2 linked regions of the Lepisosteus oculatus genome follow. The protein of the gene in region 2 purifies or fractionates together with the protein of the main gene of each other region. This does not show direct contact. Links are inferred from orthologs where the notes say so. Each region holds a gene or a part of one and is shown on either strand. Other genes may lie near its edges.

The links. The genes of interacting proteins can lie anywhere in the genome.
Region 1: the proteins of hnrnpa1b (region 2) and eif4a3 purify together in Homo sapiens (co-immunoprecipitation; 4 studies listed by BioGRID and IntAct, with this or other methods). This does not show direct contact. The link is inferred for Lepisosteus oculatus from reciprocal best matches to the Homo sapiens genes HNRNPA1 and EIF4A3.

The regions. Positions count from the first base shown.
Region 1 is NC_090712.1:4,822,297-4,832,833, forward strand, and holds the start of eif4a3 (eukaryotic initiation factor 4A-III), read right to left. Parts: upstream 4,998-10,537; 5' UTR 4,868-4,997; coding exon 4,714-4,867; intron 4,410-4,713; coding exon 4,337-4,409; intron 4,248-4,336; coding exon 4,181-4,247; intron 3,550-4,180; coding exon 3,487-3,549; intron 2,678-3,486; coding exon 2,545-2,677; intron 2,383-2,544; coding exon 2,302-2,382; intron 1,852-2,301; coding exon 1,710-1,851; intron 1,537-1,709; coding exon 1,398-1,536; intron 822-1,397; coding exon 706-821; intron 420-705; coding exon 312-419; intron 49-311; coding exon 1-48. UniProt on the Homo sapiens protein: ATP-dependent RNA helicase. Involved in pre-mRNA splicing as component of the spliceosome. Core component of the splicing-dependent multiprotein exon junction complex (EJC) deposited at splice junctions on mRNAs.
Region 2 is NC_090696.1:19,464,696-19,475,589, forward strand, and holds the start of hnrnpa1b (heterogeneous nuclear ribonucleoprotein A1b), read left to right. Parts: upstream 1-6,087; 5' UTR 6,088-6,184; coding exon 6,185-6,196; intron 6,197-7,223; coding exon 7,224-7,340; intron 7,341-7,719; coding exon 7,720-7,866; intron 7,867-8,338; coding exon 8,339-8,549; intron 8,550-8,963; coding exon 8,964-9,056; intron 9,057-9,445; coding exon 9,446-9,535; intron 9,536-9,725; coding exon 9,726-9,788; intron 9,789-10,183; coding exon 10,184-10,330; intron 10,331-10,836; coding exon 10,837-10,894. UniProt on the Homo sapiens protein: Involved in the packaging of pre-mRNA into hnRNP particles, transport of poly(A) mRNA from the nucleus to the cytoplasm and modulation of splice site selection.

The DNA of each region.
Region 1 (10,537 bases), on a different chromosome or scaffold from region 2:
AAGTTGATGGCAACACCCTTACGCCCATAACGCCCTGATCGTCCAATTCTGAAAGGTAAGGAGGTGCATCAGCTCCATGTTCAGGGCAAAGTTATTGAAAATAACCAATGAACAGACCAAAATGTCCAGTTTCATTTTAATATTCATGAAGAAAGAGTCCAGATGAGCACATAAGTGCATCAAATGAATAACATCTGGTTCACACGATGGGCTACCTAAGGCCAATTCCATGATGAGGTAGAAGCCATTCCCCAAGACTGTAATGGCTATTTAAATATGCCACCTGACACTCAATTATCAAGGGACAATACCTGTGAATGTACAATTCTCTGTTGTTGGGCAGATCGTAGTTGATAATCAGGGACACCTGGGGCACATCCAGACCTCTGGCCCAGACATCTGTGGATATGAGAACTCGGCTGAAAAAGAAAAGACATGGGTTAAAAACACTCTTCTACACCTAAGACTGGTTGACCGAGTTTTGCCCAGTGCTTTGAGGGTAGCTTAAACCTAAAGCCACAATAAACCTATACTAATCGAACCAAAAGTAGGTTCTATTATTTGAGATGACTGCCTCACAAAAAAAAAGAAGCAAAGTCACCTTTTAGATAGGTTACATACTTTAAACCAAATACACATTCCCCTGACAGGCATCGGTTAGGCAGACCATCTTGAGGAAACTAGCAAAGTAACTTCTTTACATGCCTTGCACCCGATCTGAACTCTTTCATGATGGATTCTCTCTCCTTCTGTGGCATGTCTCCATGCATCGAGGACACTGTGAAGTTGGCCTCCCTCATCTTCTCGGTCAGCCAGTCCACCTACAGTTACGACAAAAACAAGACCACAAAGAGAGTCAGTACCATATACAGGAGTCTACAACTAAAATGCAGCTACTGTTTTGTACTAACAAGGTAATGTTAAAAATGAAAGAAGCAGATGCCATTCAAGTACCCCCAGCTGTCTGTGAGATTTTCATTATGGGGACTGTTGAAAGAGACCAAGCAACGACTCTCTATCACTTCCGATTCCCCCAGCACTTGCACAGTCCTGGCTTTGGTGGGAAAGGTTATGGTACAGTAAGGACTAACTTCCACTTGATCGATTACCAATTTAAAATCAAACCCTTCCCTTTTGCCATTTCTGTCCATACACCTTTCCAGACCTAAGTATACCCCACCAATAAGTCTAACTGAAGCCAGAGTTTCATGGCCACAAATTGTAATCCAACCATCATTTATTCTGAAAACTATCTGAAATCTAAGATTTAACTGGACCAAAGTGTGCTCATGACCTCTGTAAAATACTGCACGAAAAACTAAAATGTGACAAAATGCCACTGTTTCCAATCCAAAACATGTCCACTAAGCTGTTCTGCTCTTCAGAAAAGCACAAACCTTCCTCTTGGTGTTACAGAAAATGACAGCCTGCGTGATTGTCAGAGTGTCATACAGGTCACACAGCGTGTCGAATTTCCATTCTTCTCTTTCCACAGCCACGAAAAACTGCTTGATGCCTTCTAGTGTCAACTCATCACTGAAATAAGGGCAAAGGAAAAGAAACTCAATTAATATATGAGCTAAGAGATACGTAAAGTAGTCAATTTACTTGTGAGCAGCTTTACAGCAAGACCCAAAATATGAACCCATTAAGACGAACTAAAAAAAAACTTCCTTGGTGCAACAAATTTAAATCCGGAGAGCTCTTACCGTTTGACCAGGATTCGGATGGGGTCCGTCATGAATTTGTTGGTCATCTCCAGGATTTCATGTGGCAACGTGGCGCTGATCAGACACACCTGTGTAGCAGGTGGCAGGTATCTGTACACATCATAAATCTGCTCTTTGAAACCTTGAAAAACAGAAAAAATAGGTTTATGTTACCATTTAAAAACCAACATTTAACACTCGATTTCAGGAAGGCCTTAAAAACCCATCTAAACAATACTGATACCCATCTATGTACATTCCTCTCAGTGTCAAGGCTTTCTATACAGGTACACAATACAATAAACCCTACATGTGTCCGAAGTGCTGTAAATAAAAGTAATTTGTTAAAAGGGATATTTGTCTTTACAAAACCATTATCCACCAAAACTGAAAATTTGATACCATTCAGTCATATAAACTGAATGCATCCGACATTTGAAATACTCTGAATTAGGAAATTACCCACATTTTGAAAATCTACATATAACTAAGACTGGAGCATTGGGTAGCAGGTGCTGCTGGCAAGAATACAAAAAAAGGAACACTTTGTTGATGCAAGGTTCACAAAAGGGAAAGAGCAGCATCACTCTACCTTTGTTCAACATTTCATCGGCTTCATCAAGAACCAGCATCTTGATAGCACGGGTTCTCAGGCTCCTCCTGCGGATCATGTCTGTTGAAAGCAGCAGAAGGCAGAAACATCACAGTGAGCACCACACAGCCGGAGGCCAAATCTGAAGCCAAAAACGGTTTACAAGATGCATGCAACCCGTCGTACTTAGGACGGACGTGCTTCTGCAAAAACCAAGTCTGGAGTAATTCATGCGTTCATTACCAAACACGCGTCCTGGGGTCCCTGCAACAACGTGCTGTCCGTAATCCAGCTTCCGGATGTCCTCGCCGACATTTGTCCCACCGATGCAGGCGTGGCACTGCACGTTCATGTAGTCGCCCAGAGCCAGGAGGACCTAGCGAGGATTTCAAACGAAAGTGACGGCTCCGACACGACGCTCAATTTCCCAATTCACACCGATTGAATGGAGCCCCTGTACCCACATAACCGGACACTTGAGCCTGCAGCCCATGAACACGCTAAAGCAGGGGCTGAGAGGCATTCGAGCTTCCACTTTCTTCAAAGAGACATTACCCAAGAGGCTGAGGGCAGGATGGAAGGCGGCATTAAACTTCACTGGGAAGTTACACAGAAAAGGCTTCATTTGAAGAGGTGTTATCACAGGTCTAACTTCCAGCAAACATGTTTATCGTTCTGGAAAAGATCTCATTTACGGGGGAACCGCAGTCCCAATCCCAGTTATTAAACCCCAGTAACAAGGTATAGAAATGCTACAGAATCTTACAAATTGAGCACAAAATCTTGAAAAAACTGAAAGTCACCATATTTTTGCCGACCCCTGGTCTTGCCACGGGCAAGAGTGCGAGTTCCCGTGAGCTGGGACGTGAAGCAGCCCTTCCTGCTCACTAGTCACTGTAACGACTAGTGTAACGTACGCGCGAACAATTACAGGTGGTGATATACCTGTATATATACCTGCCTGTGATATAAATAGAAGATTTTACAAGTTACTGTGTCCATTTTACTTTTATTGTGGTTTGAAACGCACTTATCAATGCTGATTTTTTCTAACCCTGAAATATAAAAACAGTGTTGCAGTTCTTCTGCAAAAGACTCTCATGCATCATGCACCACAAATTATTGAACAACATAAGAATCTGGGGCTTCAGAGAGAAAAGACGAAGATAAATCAGGAAATCCAACCTTTTGTATTTGCCCAGCCAATTCTCGGGTTGGTGCCAAGATGAGTGCTTGTGTTTCACGAACCTACGAAGTTTAGAAACAATTGTGAGGCACATTTAAACTGAGGCAGGAAGACAATGTGGCATTACATGTCATTTCTGGTAGATGCATCACTCATCTACCGATGAAAACATCAGCTGTTACAGTGTACAACAATCATCAAAGCAATCTAGACATTTAAGCAATTCCACATATTGATGTGCAAACTTATACCGAAAGCTCTTTTCCCCATCTTCACGGGTTCTACTTAAAACTTCCAACAGTCACACCTCAAGGCTTGACAGCCAGCTGTTTGACATTTGTACATCTCCCACTCATGCATAAAGACCAAGATATTGGTGTCAAACAGTTAATCTACAGTCTGGAATGCCAATTGCACATTACAGAACGGAACATTCATAGTTCAGAGAGCTGCAGTCAACAGCTGAGGTAAAAAAGTGGGACACTACTAAAATACCTATTTCTGTATTTGATGAGCAAGTAGTAAACAAAGACAACCAAGGAATCAGATGAAAAATGGTCAAATTCTCAATGGCGCGATGCACAATTATTCCCTTCACCATACACGTTGAGATTTTTTTTTTTTAAACTGCACTTTTCTCCCCATCAGCTCCGCCAATACCCTCAAAGGCACGAAATAAAAACACAGCTTTACCTGAATATCCAAGCACTGCAGTACGGAGATACAGAAAGTTGCCGTTTTGCCCGTGCCAGACTGAGACCTGGAATGAACAAAAAGTCAGGTTTTCAACACCCTGCTCCAAACAGGATCGGCATGCAGACTAAACGTCTTCTTCAACGCTGAGCTTACTGTGCAATGACGTCTCTTCCTTTGATGATCTGTTTAATCGCTCTTTGCTGGATAGCGGAGGGTTTCTCGAAACCTGTATAAAAAACATGAAACCAACACAGAACTCTATTAGAACAACGATCTCGCCAGGGAAGGCAGACTCAGGAGCGAAAACACAAACAGCTCCGCCTCCATTAACGACGTTCTTAATATTTAGCCTACTTTTCCCAATGGTAAACTACAATGAAGCATTTAACACCTCAATAAAAGCTATGAAAAAAATCGAAATATGACCTTGTAGTCAAACCGTCTGCGCATTTCTAGAAGCTTTAATTAATGCGTGCCCATCTTCGTAGGCTTTCAAAACTGAACAGGCCCCAGCCTTATCCCCGGCTCACCGTAAGCGTAGATGCCGCGGAGGAGGTCTTCCCTCAGGCCCATCGTATCAAAGGTTGGAGTCACATCCACCTCCTCGCTCGTCTCGAACTCCACTTTAGTCATGTCTTCCTCCTTCAGGAGTCGTTTCCTAACCGGTGCCGGGGCGGCTGCCATATCGAGATGGGATACAAAGGAACACCTAAAGTCAAGACCAGGAACGATACTTTTCGGGCGCCGACAGCAGGCCAAACTGCAACCAAGAGACGCGTGCTAAATGACGCTAAAAAAGGGTCCAACGCAGGTAGTGACGTAGGCTGTGGAACGGAAGTCAAGTCCACCGTCATGTGACCAGAGAGCCACCAACCCGCTAACATTAGCGTTCGAGATGAACTAATCACTAGTCTGATGAGCGTATGAGGACGCCATCTTGACTAGGTACATGCACGGTGCTTCACGGTCACCGCAACAAGTATATAACAATTTCGTCGATTTTCTCTTGAATTTTCCACTCTTGATTACAGTGTTTAAAAATGAAACTCTTATGAAAATAAAATAATAAAAACGTTGTATATACATAAATGATATTTATATGGAGTTCAAATGATTACATTTTTTTTTCAGTATATGGAAGGTAGCTATACAGTACACGGTTCAATTATGTCAATGGACGTTCGTTAAAAAATCATTACATTTTTTAACGATAGTCTAATTATGCAGCATTCTAAATGATCTTGGGTACTGTATGTACAACAGGTAATAATTTTAATTATACCTGCTAAAAAAAGTAATTCTCCTAACATTTCATTAGCTGTGTGACTATTATCGACCTTTCATGTGTTGTCGTTTTTTCATTTTAATACATTAACCAGAACAAGCAAAAAACAACCACTTATCGGAACCACAATAACTGCCTAACGAGGCAGGTGGAGAGGAGTATGGGGATGCACTGTGTAGCCTTGCATCGTATATTTCACGCACAATATACGTCACCTCATGTTAAGATCTATAAAAGTGATCGACCCTTTCAGCCATGAAATGTTAATACCGATGGTAAGCGGTGAGCAACAACAAAAAATAATCTCGGACTTTCCTATATTTTTGTGCTACAAAGGCTCCGCATCCGGTCTGTGGACAGCACTTTCCCAAAACGCCACACGGGGGACCCCGATCCACATCACTTTATCGTCATTCGTGACGTTTGTCACAACGTCTAGTTGAAGATGTAGGTTAATGTCTGGCAGAAATCCTGAAAAATGTCAAAGCGGTACAACGTGCAGAGATCTTAAGACCTTAATGTGGGGGTAAGGGACCCACGTCACCCACCCATGAAGTACAGTGCTAGGCCCGTTTATAATAATAATAATTCCTTGCATTCCTTGCATTTTATGAAGCACTTTTCATCCCAAAAGGACTCCAAAGCCATTAACAGATAGTAGGCCCGGAATGGCTGAAGTGGTGCACTCACCTGGATGATACGTGACAAGCCCCACTGCACAGCAGATCAGGAGAAGTGAGAAATTGCTTTACCAGCTGAACTAAATTTGCTGAAATTTGTGTAGGTCAGATTGTACAATTGTACATTCCACCCAGAGTGGAATGTAGCCTAGACACTGAGGTTAACATGTGCCTGGGGTCTTTAATAACCTGGGTTTAATGTTTTACTGTAAGATGGCACCATCTACATCATTGTTCTGTCATCACGCTGACACTGTAATTACAAAATCTGCTTCGGATGTTGTTTTGCATTCTCGAGAATGTTTTTTTTTTCTCAGTCTTTGTTAAATCACGAGAAGTTTCAGACCTGTGGAGCAGGGTGGTGCAAGCTGTTGGGTGACTCAGTCAGATCTAGCCCACTAAGTAAGCAGAGACCGCTGAAGACAGAAGTCAGAGATCTGTGGTCTGAGGAATAAAGGTCACAAACAGTACACATCACCAGCATAAAACCCCCCAGTGCCATCAGACTGGCTAGTTTGTGCCAGAAAGGTGTCAGAAAGAAAAGTGATTTGATAAATGTGTGTCTTCTTTTGAGCTAGACCATTGGCAAAAATCGTTTGTTGTTCTACAATGTTGAGAGTTTTCTGGGCTGCACAGATACAGGTCTGAAGTTCAGGTTGGACCCATGCTTGAGAGTTCAATCTCTAAAGGTTCTGGATAAAGAATTAAAATAGGTTTGCAGTGTCACAACATAAAAAACCCGTCTATCTTGTGCATTGGCACTAATATGACTAATGACATACAAAACTGGCCTCATAGAATGACAGTGTATGTTTTTTTTTATTTTTTATGTTTATTTCCTTCTGCTACATACATGGCTGTACACTTTACAAAACAGGTTGAACTCTTTATTTTTTTTTCAAAGCTAAAGCACCACACATTCCATGTAATACTCAGTGCTCTGCAACATATTTCATATCTACATACGTTTGTAAAAATGAGCAAATTCAAGTTTAAAAAACGGCAAAAGAAACATCTAAAATTGTGCTTTTTTTTTCTCAGTCAAGACTGTGATACAATAGTATACAAGATAAGTCTTTCTCACAGCACTTGACAATCTAACATGCAGGTAACAGGATCTACTGTCTCTTTCTAAAGAGAAGAAACGCTGTCTCCTAATTGAGCAGAGAAACATGCATTCTCGTGCCTTTCAAGTAAGGCAAGGGCCACGCAGATCTGAACTTGGGTTTGCAGGTACATCACAAGTCATAATCATAAAAGTAAAAACCAATAAATAAGTAAAGAAGTGAAGCAAAACCGATAACTAAACAATTTAGAATACTAGGTGTACATGGAGTGCTGGTCGTTAACATAGTTCAGTGTCAAGACAGGCAGTGCTCTGCAGCTGGTGGATTCTCTCCTGCCATCTATCATCACAGTGCTGCAGAGTGGACCGTTGGATGAAGCAGACTCTTCTCCTGGTTGCACTAGTTAAAAAGAACCTTTGCTCTGGAAAATATCAACTACAAGAAGGCATTCTTCAACAGGCTTTTTACGCCCTTTCCAAAAAAATTACTTTGATTATAGTCTGCAAACCCCTTGGTGCTGCTGATAGTAAGACATGATTCACTGATGGCTATTTAACGCTGGAATCTGGCAGTCCTCAATAACCCCCAACAAGACACCAAAGTATTCTAATCATTTACAACTGTGGGCTAGTACAGGTAATACTGGGACAAAATATTTAATAGGATGCACTTTAAGGTTCTGAAAAGGTGGGGTTTTAAGTGATAGAGTTAACACCTCATTCAGGAACATCTTGCCTCTAGTCTGGGTTCAGGGTAGCAACACTTGACGTCTACGAGGAACAGTTAAAATCATATTGGCACTGCAGCTGCTTCAACAGCTAAATCAGCTGAATATTTTCAAGGCTCACTGGACAGCATCAGGGTCACAGGCATTGTTCGGCAAGTGCATACACACTCTCGCAACACACCGTTCAAAAGCTAAACGAAAACGAAACGTCTTTATATTGGTGTTTATATTGTTCTAACCAAATTGTTCCTTTTTTGTTCACATATATATCTCTAATTCGCTCCAGTTAAGAAAGAGGTTAAGGACAATGTCCCTAAACAAACGAGACGATTCCTGGGACCCCTTTGAATTCCTCTGCATCAGTCCCTGGCTTTTTCCTGCCACTCCCCTCTCCTACCAGCAGACTGACAGAAATCAGATCTGGAGCTCAAAGTAAGGTAACAGGCTATTTTACAAAACAAAACACGTCGGACTGTGCACCCATTATTTCTCACAGTCTCAGTGGACTTGCCGACAGGCTACTTTTTGTGCTGCGGGAAAAAGACCTCAGAGCTGACACTGGCTTTGATTTTGTGTTGACCCTTGAGCCAGCTGGAAATCAGGTTTGCAAAACGGAGAGAGATGCCAAGCTGGATGTCTGGCTCCCTTAAACGCTGACAAAAAGCCAGCATTAACAGATGGTTGTATTTTTAAATTCATTTTGGCAATTCTAAATACTCCATACAAGCAGGTTCACCCCAATTGTTATTTTCAATTAAACCCTTACTGTACTTCGTTAAATAAGAAACAAACAAATTTGCTTTCCTGTATTATATATAATACAGTGTACTCTTTAAAGGGGTTGAGTTATCTCTATAGTGCCAAAATTATAATGAATAGCTGATCCGCGGCTCAGTCGTAGCCTGGCATTCAGTCCATCACACACCACTGGAAAATGTGTAGTTCAGGAGGGGTTTAATTGTGACTATACCAGGGTGGATTCTCTAAGATGGCAAACAGGCCTGCTATACGTAAAGCTCCAGGTGAGCTTCCTCTGCTGTAACGAGAACAGTACAACAAAGACGTGTAGGGCCTGCTGTGCAAGGTATGGAGATGTAGCAGATTCAAGTCAAAGAAAATGAGCAATGACAGCAGCGGGATGCACACTCTCTAGCCCTGTGAACTTTATAACACACAGTCATCTTTTCTGCAGATGGACAGAAGGCCTTTGTCGGCGCCGAAATGTTGACAGTGTCTAATAAACATCCTCAGAGTAGAGAGTGTGCGTCCTGCTTGTCTCGGTGCTTTGATTGATACCCATCAGAAGCCATTTCAGTAACACTGGGTGTGCTTTCTCCTCTTTTTTTTATTTTAAATAGCAAATCATCTGCTCTTGTTCTGTTGTTGCATTGCATTGTGTTTCTCACTATGTTTTCTGTGTTCCACGGGACACTGGCGTATAGTTTCTCCCTACATAATGACAGATGATCAGATTACCACGCATGGCCCATTGTTTACCAGAGTGGCCACAAGTCTGGAATGTGTCTAGTTTAAATAACACTCAAACCCAGCCAGTGCCGTTAATGCTGTATTCTCCTTCACCAGGGCCAGTCAGGGTGGGAAAGAGGCCAGCTGTTGGTGGTTTTGTACTGCTTAGGAGAATCACAATGGAGCTCTACCACCTGCCAGTCTCCTGTTGTAAAGAAAAGGGATTGTTCTGGAGCATGTGACGTGGCACCCTAACCACAGTACTTCACAGTGTGCGTTAGCCAGGTGTCTTTGAAGTGGACTGTTCAATTCCACAATGACCTCTGCCTGAAGATGTGCCTTTTTTCTTTGCAACACTACACTAGCTGATTAAAACAAATTTAAGCAAAAAGACTTCCAGAACATCACACAGAAGTATTTCCACTTCAAGGTGAGACGACATTAATTCCTTTAAGGTAGACTTATATTGGGGCTTATTCTGAACATTACTTTCCAGCTTGGAAAAGCCAAATCAATCATGATTATTCTAATGTTTGATAGAAACATGGCTGTCATTGTGTCTTATCCTAGTGCATTACAGATCACTGTTTATTAAAGATCCCCAATGTAACTATTTTCATTTCAAGGGTCTCTCCATCTCAAAGCGCAGTATGACTGGAGAACATTTAAGTGGCCAAAAATTTGGATGTGCATTAGTCAAAAGCCAAGTGACTTTCAGAAAATCTCAAAATACCTTTACAGGACTTAAATCAGCAGGCTCGAGTCTTATATCTGATCACATTTAACAGGGAGCAGAATGTGGTCTCTCTGAAATGTGATTTCTTTTAGCTATGTGATTGAAGAGATGGTTATAGAGGACAGAAAACAGGAGAAGTGGAGGAGGCTCAGTCTGTAATAGTCTCACAATGCAATCAACAAGCATGCAAATGTAAGAGCAGCTGCAATGGAAATAGTCCAAATCATAATACTAAAAGGTAGCTGTGCCCTTTTCACAGTAATTGCTCAGATTAGTTATCAGTCAATTATAAAAAAAAAATCAACTCGGCATAAAAATCTATTGCTGACAATTAGGAATTTTAACTTAAATACATTGTACCAATATTTTAACGAGTAGGAATATGTCAAGAA
Region 2 (10,894 bases):
TGCAGAATGAACCTCTACCAATGCCTGATTGCTTTTAAAAAATCTTCTTTGGCTCCCGAGGAGTAAGAGGTTGGAAATGAGCGTTAACTCTCTGCTTGAAGGTGGGGTTCAGGACTCCCCGATCCTGGGCTTGAAGCTTCAGGGTGGAATCTGAGGGGGGAGCCTGGCCAGCACTGAGAGGGCTCATAAACGGTGCCCTGAACACTGCTCTCTGATCTCACAAAGAGCTTTATTGGCATGACTGATAAACTGCAGTGTTGCCAAGGAAGAGCGATTAATGAAATATTTACAAATATTTGGAACACTAACTAATATTTGAGAAGGTCTGTCCCTTTTCCTCAGGCTGTGACAGGAGATTGTTTACCAGACTGCAGCTCTTCGTTTCCTTCTATGGCCAGGCTGTGGTCACTGAGCCTGTCCTCTCTGTACAGACAGGTCTGTCCGTGTCCAGTTTCTATGTCCAGGCTGTGGTCACTGAGCCTGTCCTCTCTGTACAGACAGGTCTGTCCGTGTCCAGTTTCTATGGCCAGGCTGTGGTCACTGAGCCTATCCTCTCTGTACAGACAGGTCTGTCCGTGTCCAGTTTCTATGGCCAGGCTGTGGTCACTGAGCCTGCACTTTATTGGGGTTTCCCCTCATTGTCTCTTACGCTGGTCAGCTGCACTGTGCTTTTAGGGCTCAGTAACACCCTACCCCCTCACTACCTGTACATGAACCCCGGCAATGAACCAGGCACCTCGCCAAGGCACGCAGAAAGGAGGTCAGGTCAGATTTTGACAGCACACCGTTTACATTAGATACACAGCCTTCCATTGCCAGCGACAGACAGACCGCAACATGCTAGACAGCACTGGGGAAACGCTCTGGACACAAGTGCAGAAGTGTGTGGGGTGGGTGGGCTTGGAAGTCTGGTTGTTCTGCACGGCCACATAAACCACTGCAAGACCTCAATTCTTCCAAGAAGGGCTTTGAAACAACTGCACTTCTCCTCGCCAACACACACAACCCCCAACCCCCATACGTGCCTGCTAGCTCCTTTCTGCAAAGCATCAACATTTTCAAATAAGAACATGAGAACAGTTACAAATGAGAGGAGGCTATCCGGCCCATCTCGCCTGCTTGGCGGTTGACACCCCATGGATCCGAGTGCAGTTAAAACTGTGAGCAGGAGGTGCGTTCTTTACACAGAGGGAGGTGGGAGTGTGGATTAAGCTGCCCAGCCGTGTCGTTGAAGCTGACACCATGGTGTCTCTCAAAAAAGAGCTTGACAAGATCCTGGGGTCAATTAGCTGCTAACCACCCAACAGGACAGGTGGCTCAAATGGCCTTCTCTCGTTTGTAGCTTCTCGTACGCTCTCAATCACTTGCACTCATTGTTGAACGAGAAAGCGTGACAGACTAATTACGTCCTGCTTCTCATGTTTCCCAGTCGGGGCTTCACCAGAGAATGCACGAAGGTGGGCAGACAGGCACACACACCCACACCAAGACCAGTTTTCCCCCGGAGACAAACAACAGGCATGTCGCTGGACAATCTGAGGACCCCGGAGCACCTGCAGGAAACCCATACGAACACGGGGAGAGCAGACAGGCTCCACACAGACGCCACCCCAGGAACTGAACCTGGTTCTGCAGCGCTGCGAAGCTGTAAGGCGAACCACTGCGCTGCCGGGCCGCCCCACTACTCTCAATGTTAAGCTTAGTTCAAATCAAAGGACAAGGAGGACAAGGAACAGGCTTTGCTCCACTGGGATTCAGCAGAGACAAGACATGCGAATTGCATTTTAAAGGGAGGTATACAGACATGTAATAATGCTACTCACACTGTTAAGAGCTGGCTCTTTAAGAGCAAATCAGTAATCCAGAAGATGGCGAGCAAAGAGTGGGCAGGATTTATCAGATTTTTCTGATAAAACCGGAGCAACCCAGAGGAAGCCCATGTGAACCAGGAGAAAACATGCAAGCTCCACACAGACAGCAGCCCAGGTCAGGAAATGGACCCCCGAGCCCCAGTGCTGCGAGGCTGCAATGCCAGCCTGCTCCTGATTCACCCCTTGCAGTACATTTACAGTACAATTCCCCATCATAAAAACACACAATGGCAAAACGGCTGTTACCACCCTTGGACAATAATGCAGCGAAGCACTACATTTCCCTGAAAACGTGTTCCCTTTTAAAAATCCTGTATGTATATATATATATGAATGTATGGTACATGTGCAGTTTCATGTTTAAAAAGTAGTCTCTCTCAGCTGCGGCCACAATGAGGGAGCTGATGGCCGATCCTGTCCAATCAGAAATGCAAATCACAGGCTGGAGCATGGGAGAATACACATTTCTACAGCGGGTGAGTTTCCCTCCATGCTTGTTGAACAGGTGGTTAAAGAGCTGGCCTAAGCCTTGCGCACTTACTGCAAATCCTCCAGGCCTGAAGACTGTGGTCTGTGCCAACAACGGAGAACAGTTCCAGGGGTGTCAGTGCCCCCACAGGAAGAGCTCAAGTCCAGCTGCTGCCTGGAAGAAAAAGGTGAGAAAAGACAATTCAGAGCCTGGGGCTGCTACAGAGACGAATGCAAGAAGGTCTGGGACAATCAGGGAGGAAAACGCCTTCGACTGCTTTCGCGCAAGGAGGAGAATACTCCTTAAAAAGCACGCCACGCGGACTTCATCTGGGAGAGCTGCGAACTTCGGGACAAGGCTAGGATTCATTCCGCGGAGGCTCTTCCACCAAGCAGAGTCCAATTCGCCCTATTCTGCACGGCCGGCCGTTTCACTGGAGGGATCGGGGGGGGGGGGGGGATGACTGCAGAGTCTCGCGCTCGCGGCCTCGAACCCGTGGCCACAGGTCAGGAGTCCAGAGCCCCGGCCGGCCGCTCCACACCGCTGCCCCGAAGGGCTTCTGAAAGGGGTAACCACGCGCGGCAGGTTCTGCCATCTGAAGGTGGCGTCTTGCCCACAGAACAATGACAGGAAAGGAAGCCCCTGTGTTACACTGAAAGGATCCCCCCACCCCTGTTCTCTGCTGATGGCGATTCTTACAGCTGCTTCCTTTGATCCAGCTGATTACTTTGACTAGCTTGCCTATCAGTGGGGAAACAAGACGCCAAAGAGTTAAAGCGCTCTTCCCAGATCGGCAAGCATGAATATGCATGAATCAGCCTATCGCTTTTAACACTCACTTGCGCATCTCTCCAGTTAATCCAGCTCCCCCTTTTCTCACCTGGATAGACATGTTTTTGTTGTTGTTGTCCTGTACGTGTTTGAAGTGTTTACAAAAAAAAAAGTGCACGAGATGCAGGAGCCGAAGACGCACCTCGGCCGTGCGGTGCGAGAGCCTGGCTCTCCACGATGCGTGTGGATCCCCCGGTGGGGGGGTTGTAGCACGTGGACGTGCAGCGTGATACACATTTTGACCAACATTCAGAAAAACAACGCTGGTAATATTGCACGGGGTGGGGATACTTTCATCAGACTCGTCAGCAATCAATCCAAAACCGGTTCCTCCGGATCCATCAATGGGTGGGGGTGGGGGAGATTCATCAATCTCCCCCGTGAGATTATCGGGCTCTACGCTCCCCTACAAGGTCTTTATCCTTTTTTCAGAAAGTGCCACGAATGCTCTCGCCAGCGCTGACTTCAGTCGCGACCCCACTCCCTCGCAGACCCCGTGTCCGCCAGACCCGGAGCTGAACTCGCCCGCGACGGCTGGAAATCCTGAACTGGAAGCGGAAGGCTTCCCGATCGAGCCCGGGGGGAACAGTCTCCCGATCTGGGAGCTACCTGACCGCGTCCGATGAGTAACACTTTCGCACACCCACAGAAGCGGCGTCAGGGGCGCTCCGCGGTTTAAACTGCGATGCCCGCTGCCGTCGCTAAAGCCCATCATACCCCCCAGATGCGGGGATCGGCGCCACTCTTTGATGACCTACATTAAAAAAATTGTCGCTGCTTGATTCTTTCAATGGGGGTGATCGGTCCCTGTTACCGATTTGCAAGATGCGCACCGCCAACCCGGCCTGCGCATGTGACAAACACAAAATCACAGAGCTGTGCGTTTCCGGCTCCTCTCCACTCGGGACCTTAAAGAAGTTTGCCGGAGGGCTTGGATTCACACACACCAGTCTCTTATCTTACCGAGAGACACCGGCACCCGTTTGTTTTTTGTGTTCCAAGGGGAGGTTTAATTCCCTCGTCTTGTGAGCGCGCCCGAGATTTAAGGAGAGCGTTGAGCTTTCACCGTGAGCAAGGAAAGGGCATTCCTTTTAAAGGCTTTTACACCGTACGCGTCTGTTGGCACGGGGTGGGGGTGGGGGGTCATTTTCCTGGTAAAAAAAAACGCCAGCACAAGTTTGCAAGCAGAACTCAGCATAACGTTCAGTCCCAAACCCAGGCAACCCGATTTCAAGTCACAACACCGGTTGGGAGGCGTGCAATGCTCGTCACAACACTCTCACTAAAGGTTCCGCTCCATTCACAGCCTTATCGTCTTGAGAGAGACGGGGCGAGATTTATTTTTTTTCCCCAGATTTTACTCTGGAGAAGCATGCCGGGCTCCGGGAGCTCCGAATGAATTCACACAGAGAGACAAGACAGGGGGTGGGGGCAGAGAGCAGCACCGCTTATCTACAAAAATCGCCATTCACCAGGCAAACTGAATCGCTGCACACAGTTGTTTTTTTTATAAAAGTAGACTCCATGCGTTATCTGTTGTGAAACCCACCTTCTCCTGTAAATCCCAGTTTATAACCCCAATTTGCAATACAAACACACATGGCCGTAACGCAAATCACCCTGGCACAGGAAGTCCCTCCTACCTGACGCGTCTGTGATTTGTACGCTTGGTGCAGCGACCCCGCCAACGCAGGGAAGCCGCCTCTCTGAGTGGCCGAGGCGACTGTCAATCAATGTCGCTCTTCCGCTCGGCCCAACACGACCCCACCCACCTACCTCCTCCTCCCCCCCCATCTTGTTTCTTTCAATCCCGCCGCTTTCACATAAGAGACGTGAACGAAGAAACGTTCAAATCGACCCCCCCCGCCCACCATAAAAACTCTCTTTCGCACGTTTTCGTTAACATAGCGCAGAGTAGCCTACCCCTCCAGCTCTTCGCTGGTGCGAACTGAACGAGAATTTGGCTCACCCAGTCGGTGAAGAGACCGTCTGAATCCAGGAGAGAAAACGTTACGACCCAATCCGCCGCCGCAGCTGCAGCTCGAGCGCCTCTCCGACTCTCCTCCTGACTGCGTAGACGCGCGCGCCAAAAAAAAAACACACAATAGCTGGAGCGCGCACGCGCACGCAGGGAGCTTTGAAGGGGTCCTTCTGCGATAAGAAGACGGCTTTTCCCCGCTCGTCAGGATGATAAAAATGCTTCAAACAACAATAATAATGATAATGATGATGATGAAAAACAAGATCTCATGCAAAATCTCGACCAGGACCATTTTCCCTGGTCCTCTGAATCCAAACAAGCAGGTTTAGCTGATACAAACAAGCCATGTGTCTCGGGTTTAGGAATTGTATCTCTGACGTTAGGAGTTGTATTCATTAGACCTAAAAACTACTGTGACAAATAATAGGAAAACATACTTTCAAAGTGCTTAGAATGTGCCTATTGGCAAAAAGCGACAGCCTAGCTCTCTGTATAGCTGCTGTAACAATTCACGTAATACATCTACCACTAATAATCATCTAAAATGACATGCTTATGCAGTTGCATGGGCCAGTATTGCTGGGTGGCAGATTTCTTTGGACATTTCATGAAGACGATGTTCATGTTTTATTGATTTAATTGACACCTTATTCACGCAAGTACGCGGATCCTTTTTCTCCCCACAACACGACTGCGTCACCGGCCGCTCTCTCCGCGATCGCTCGGACGCCTTCCCCAATGATTGGCAGGAAGAGGAGCAAATCGGATTCCGACTTCACAACACGGGGGGGGTGCGATTATTCCGACAATATTTCTGCGATTGGTTAGAAGGACCAGATAGACGAGAGTTCTATCCAATGAGCTTTGAGCAACTCTCCCAGCTCCGCGCTGCAGCGGGAACTTTTAGCCAATCACTGATGCCAGTGGGCGGAACTTACCGTCTTCATAACTCAGTAGCCTGAGCAGTGAGAAGGGCTCTTTCGACCTTGTTCCTTCAGCAAGAGGCGCTGTGCTGGTACAGATCTTGTAGTAATGTCTAAGGAGGTAAGTTTTTGCTTTTCTTCAAACTAAAGCAACTTACTAGGCGTTTTTTAGGACCTTTTAGTCAAAATACCCGTGCTTTGAATAACGTGGTAGTTAAAGCTTATTGGTGTAAAAGGTCGTAGCTATAAAAGACATCTGTGTTTTCATAAGTCGGTGGCTCGTTTGTTGCTGAAATTGTGGAAGGGGGAAGACGCACATCGTTACTGTTCACTTCAGTAGTATATTTCCCGTCTTTCTAGTTCATTACTGTGTTTTATTTCTGTCTTTGGTGAGGTGCGATCTGTCGCTCCGCCATTTCGTGAGGGCGGTGGGTGTGCAGGCCACGCGCCTGCGAGCGAAATCGTGTGTCTTTCCCCAGGAGAAAGACACGCTTGTCTCGCGTGGCTGTAGCATCGACCCGCGTTCTGTATCCGGAGCAAATGGGAACACCGTTAATCGGTGAATATACACAAATATTGCAAATCCAAGAAAAAAAGACTCGGATCCATTTCTTTGTTTCCTGTTGGTGTAACGAACATGGCGCCCAGGCCTTGGAAGTCCTGCCCTGGGTCAGTCGTCCCAGATCGCTCTTACAACAGTTAGACCTGTGCAATGCGGCTTATTTCCCGCATTAAGACTGGGATGCTGTTAAAACGCGCTCCTCTGTTTTGTGGAGCCTGGGCGGCCGTGTTAGTAAATATTGAGACGGTGAGTGTAGGCTGCAGCTCGCGCATGCGCCCTGCCAGGGCCTTTGTCTCCGGTCTGGAACCTTCCGCGCTCACGCGGGCTGGCTAGCGTGCCCACGCGCCGGCCTGGGGCCGCTTCGCTTCTGCGTTCTGGAATTGGCGTTGCTGATTCGGAGCGGAGCAGATCTACGTGTGTGTAACCCTAAGAGGGTGGGAGGACACGCTCCGGAAGTTTTCATTTGCGTATAAGCTCTGCAGGGCGTGCAATCGTCGCGGGTTTCCGGCCGGGTTCGGGTGACCGGCGGGTCCGGCCTGCCTCTTACCCAGCGCTTCCTGCCTCTAACCCCCGCTCTCCCCCGCAGGCCCCCCGTGAACCGGAACAGCTGCGCAAGCTCTTCATCGGAGGGCTGAGCTTCGAGACGACGGACGAGAGCCTGCGAGCCCACTTCGAGCAATGGGGACAGCTCACGGACTGCGTGGTAAGGAGAGGAGAGACCCCCCCCCTCGGGCCCCGTGCTCGCGGTGTGGGGGCGGGTGTAAACGATCCCGGGACGCGCCGGTTTGTGGTGCGGGGAGCGCCTGCCCTTTGCCCTGGCTGTGCGGGGGGGGGCGTGTTTGTCAGGCCTGGCGGCCGCGAGTGGGAGCGGACTAAAAGCTCAGGCCGTGATCTGTGTGGGCTGTGAGTCCCAGAGCTCAGGGCAGCGTCCCGCCCGGGACCCTGGTTGGGTGACCCCACCACTGTGACTTTGATTGGTTTCCTAAAGCTTGGGGGGAACCGGTTCAGTTTAAGGGGCCCGGCGCAGTTCTCCCCCTCTGCCTCCAGTGCTGATGTGACCCCCCCTCTCTCTCTCCCCCCAGGTGATGCGGGACCCCAGTACGAAGCGGTCCCGGGGGTTCGGCTTCGTGACGTACTCCTCGGTGCGGGAGGTGGACGCTGCCATGAACGCCCGGCCCCACAAGGTGGATGGCAGGGTGGTGGAGCCCAAGCGCGCCGTGTCTAGAGAGGTGAGCCCCCCCCCCAGTCTGCTGCCTGTTTTCCCTGGGGTTGGGGAGAGTGTTTCCGGATCGAGGGCCCGCCAGAGAGCTGTGGAGCCGCTGCCTGCCACCCCGATACACGCGGGGGGCTCGTCGGTCCTCGGCGGGACCTGTTGTCCGCACTGCGGAGCCAGAACAGGAGGAACGTCTTTGCGCAAAGGGTGGTGGTAGGAGGGAACTGATGTTGAAGCTGGTTTCCTGGCTTCCTTTTCGGCTCTGCAGAATATCCATTCAGTCTTCTGATTGGGGCAGCGGGTTCCGTTTTACCCAAAGAGTGGTGGGAGTGGGGAACAGGCTGTTCAGCCACGTTATTGAAGCCGGTACCCCACCACCCCCCAGATGGATGGGGTCGATTTAAGCCAGTAGCTGCCCTAGGGGGCTGGACTGACCCCCCGGCCTCCTCCTCCTCCTCTCGTGACCCGCCTTGTCTCCTTGCCCCCAGGACTCGACCCGGCCCGGCGCCCACATGACCGTCAAGAAGATCTTCGTGGGCGGCATCAAGGAGGACACAGAGGAGCACCACCTGCGCGACTACTTCAGCGAGTTCGGCAAGATCGAGGTCATCGAGATCATGACCGACCGGGCCAGCGGCAAGAAGAGGGGCTTCGCCTTCGTCACCTTCGACGACCACGACTCCGTGGACCGGATCGTCAGTAAGTGTGGTGGGCGACGGGCCTTGTGCTGGGGGGTGTGGCGCCCCTGGGGGAGCCTGCCAGGCCACTGTAGCGACGTGTGCCGGTACCTCTCCAATGTACACCCGTACCCCGGTATCCGAGCCTGATTCGTTCATGGGGAATCTGTTCGGAAGGCGGAAGATCATAAATCCACCCTTTCCGAACCGAGGACAAGTTCGCTCAAACTCTTCATGTTCAGATTGGCAAAAACTCGTGTGCCGAACGTTCTTATGCCGGGGTGTGAGTGTGATTTAAAAGGGTCTTTGTTTTGGCTTCTTGGCTCTGGGTATTTAGGGGGGGAGGGGGTTTTGTGGGTGTGGTGCTGCACCCCTGGTTTGGGGCGTGCCCCCCCCCCCCCGTTTCTGACCGTTGTCCTGTCTCGCTCTTCCGCAGTCCAGAAGTACCACACAGTGAACGGCCACAACTGTGAGGTGAGGAAAGCGCTGTCGAAGCAGGAGATGGCGAGCGCAGGGATGAACATGAGAGGTAAGCCCTCTGCGCTTGGGGTGGGGCGGGGGGGTGGGGGTCTTGGACCCTGTGCCATTGGTGTTTTCAGCTCTTTTTTGGGAGAGGGGGATGACCCTGGGTGCTCTTATCTCAGAATTGATCTGGCTTTAGACCCGAGTGCTTTTGGGGGTTTATTCTGACCAAAGGAGAAAGCACTGGGTCCTTACACACAGGTGTGTGGGGCCCGTCCAGTCCATCTGTCCTGCTTGGTAGCTGATCGGTGCAGTGGTCTGTCACTGGGTTCCTCCTGGCTCTCGTGTGGAGGACTGTGAAGGTTTTGTGGCGCTGTGCAGGCCTCAAGACGTGCGCTTGGTTAAAATGCTCCCCCGAGCCTGGTGTCCTTTTGTGGTGACATTCGTTCTTTCCAGGACGTGGGGGCAGCAGCTCAGGGAACTTTGGCAGAGGTGGTGGATTTGGAGGTAATGATTTTGGCCGTGATGGATACTTCGGTGACCGTGGTATGTGGTTCAAAACCACTTTTTTCCTTTTTATCTCTCTTCCTTTTAATCATTTTTCCCCTTAACTTGCTTTTGTCCCCTCCCTACCCCAACCCCCCCTGGCATTTCTTGGATTTAATTTTATTCAGGTTGTTTTGTTACACTGCACTGACCACCTCGGGGTTGTTGTTTTTTTCTTCTGCTACCCCAGGAGGCTTTGGAGGCCGTGGTGGATATGGAGGAGATGGGGGCTACAATGGCTTCGGAGGAGACAGTGAGTTTGGATTTATCGCTACTTGTTTATTTTTAATAGTATATGTAAGATATATTTCTACTGCGGCCTGGGTTGAACGTCCCAGCTTCTCCTTTTAAGAGCTGAATTCCAGTATCGCCAGTGTCCGGAGGGGATCCGTGGCTCCGGACCCGCAGTCGGGGTCTCTTTCAGCTGTGGGGCTGCTTCTTCGGGTGTGAGAGGGGAAAATTGGCCGGCTGAGTGTCCACACTGCCTCGTTCCTACTCCTGCCTCTTCCTGGGGGGGGGGGTTTGTTCTCCCGTCTCTCGCGCCCGAAGGCGGCTCCACAGCGGGCGCGTGGGATAGACCCTCGCCTGGCTGCGGCCTGCGCGTGCCGACGCGCCTCCCTCATCGAACTCTCTCTCTCTCTCCTGCAGGCGGCTACGGCGGCGGCCCTGGCTACGGGAGTAACCGTGGTTACGGCGGAGGGCAGGGTTACGGCGGCGGGCAGGGGGGCGGATACGGAGGCAACGGAGGCGGCTACGACAACTACAACAACGGAGGGGGGGGCAGCTTCGGAGGAGGTGAGCGGCCACGGTCTCGGCCTCTCTCCTGGCGGGAGAGCGGTGCGCGGCGGGGTCTCCGGGTCTTTCTGCCTCGGCTTGTGGTGGCCTCGCGGAGTGCCCGAGCGGACCAGCCGAGTGCTTTCTGACGTTCCAGCAGCTGATTGAAAGCCTCCTGCGTTCTGGTTCCGGGTGGGGGTGGGGTGACCGTCTGTCTGTCGGTCACCATGCTAGGAGGTCGAGTTTCCGCATGCTGTCAGTGCTGGATCCCAGTTAAGAGGTGGAGCTGGGTGCCTCAGGGCTGAGGTATCTTGCCTGTACCCTCAACCTTGCCTCAGTTGGTCCGGACTTGCTCGGCCGGCTGGTTACTGTGCTTTGCCTGAAAGCTGCAGGAGCTCACTCTGAATCGAGGGCTCGTGAAGGCACCCCAGCGCATGAGGGGAGAGCCTGGCTTAACTTGAACTGTGCCGGTGCCCTACGGGGCTAACCGGATCTCTTTATTTATTTTTCTTCTTCTGGCCTCGCAGGAAGCTTCGGCGGCAGCGGGAACTACAACGACTTCGGCAACTACAACAGCCAGTCCTC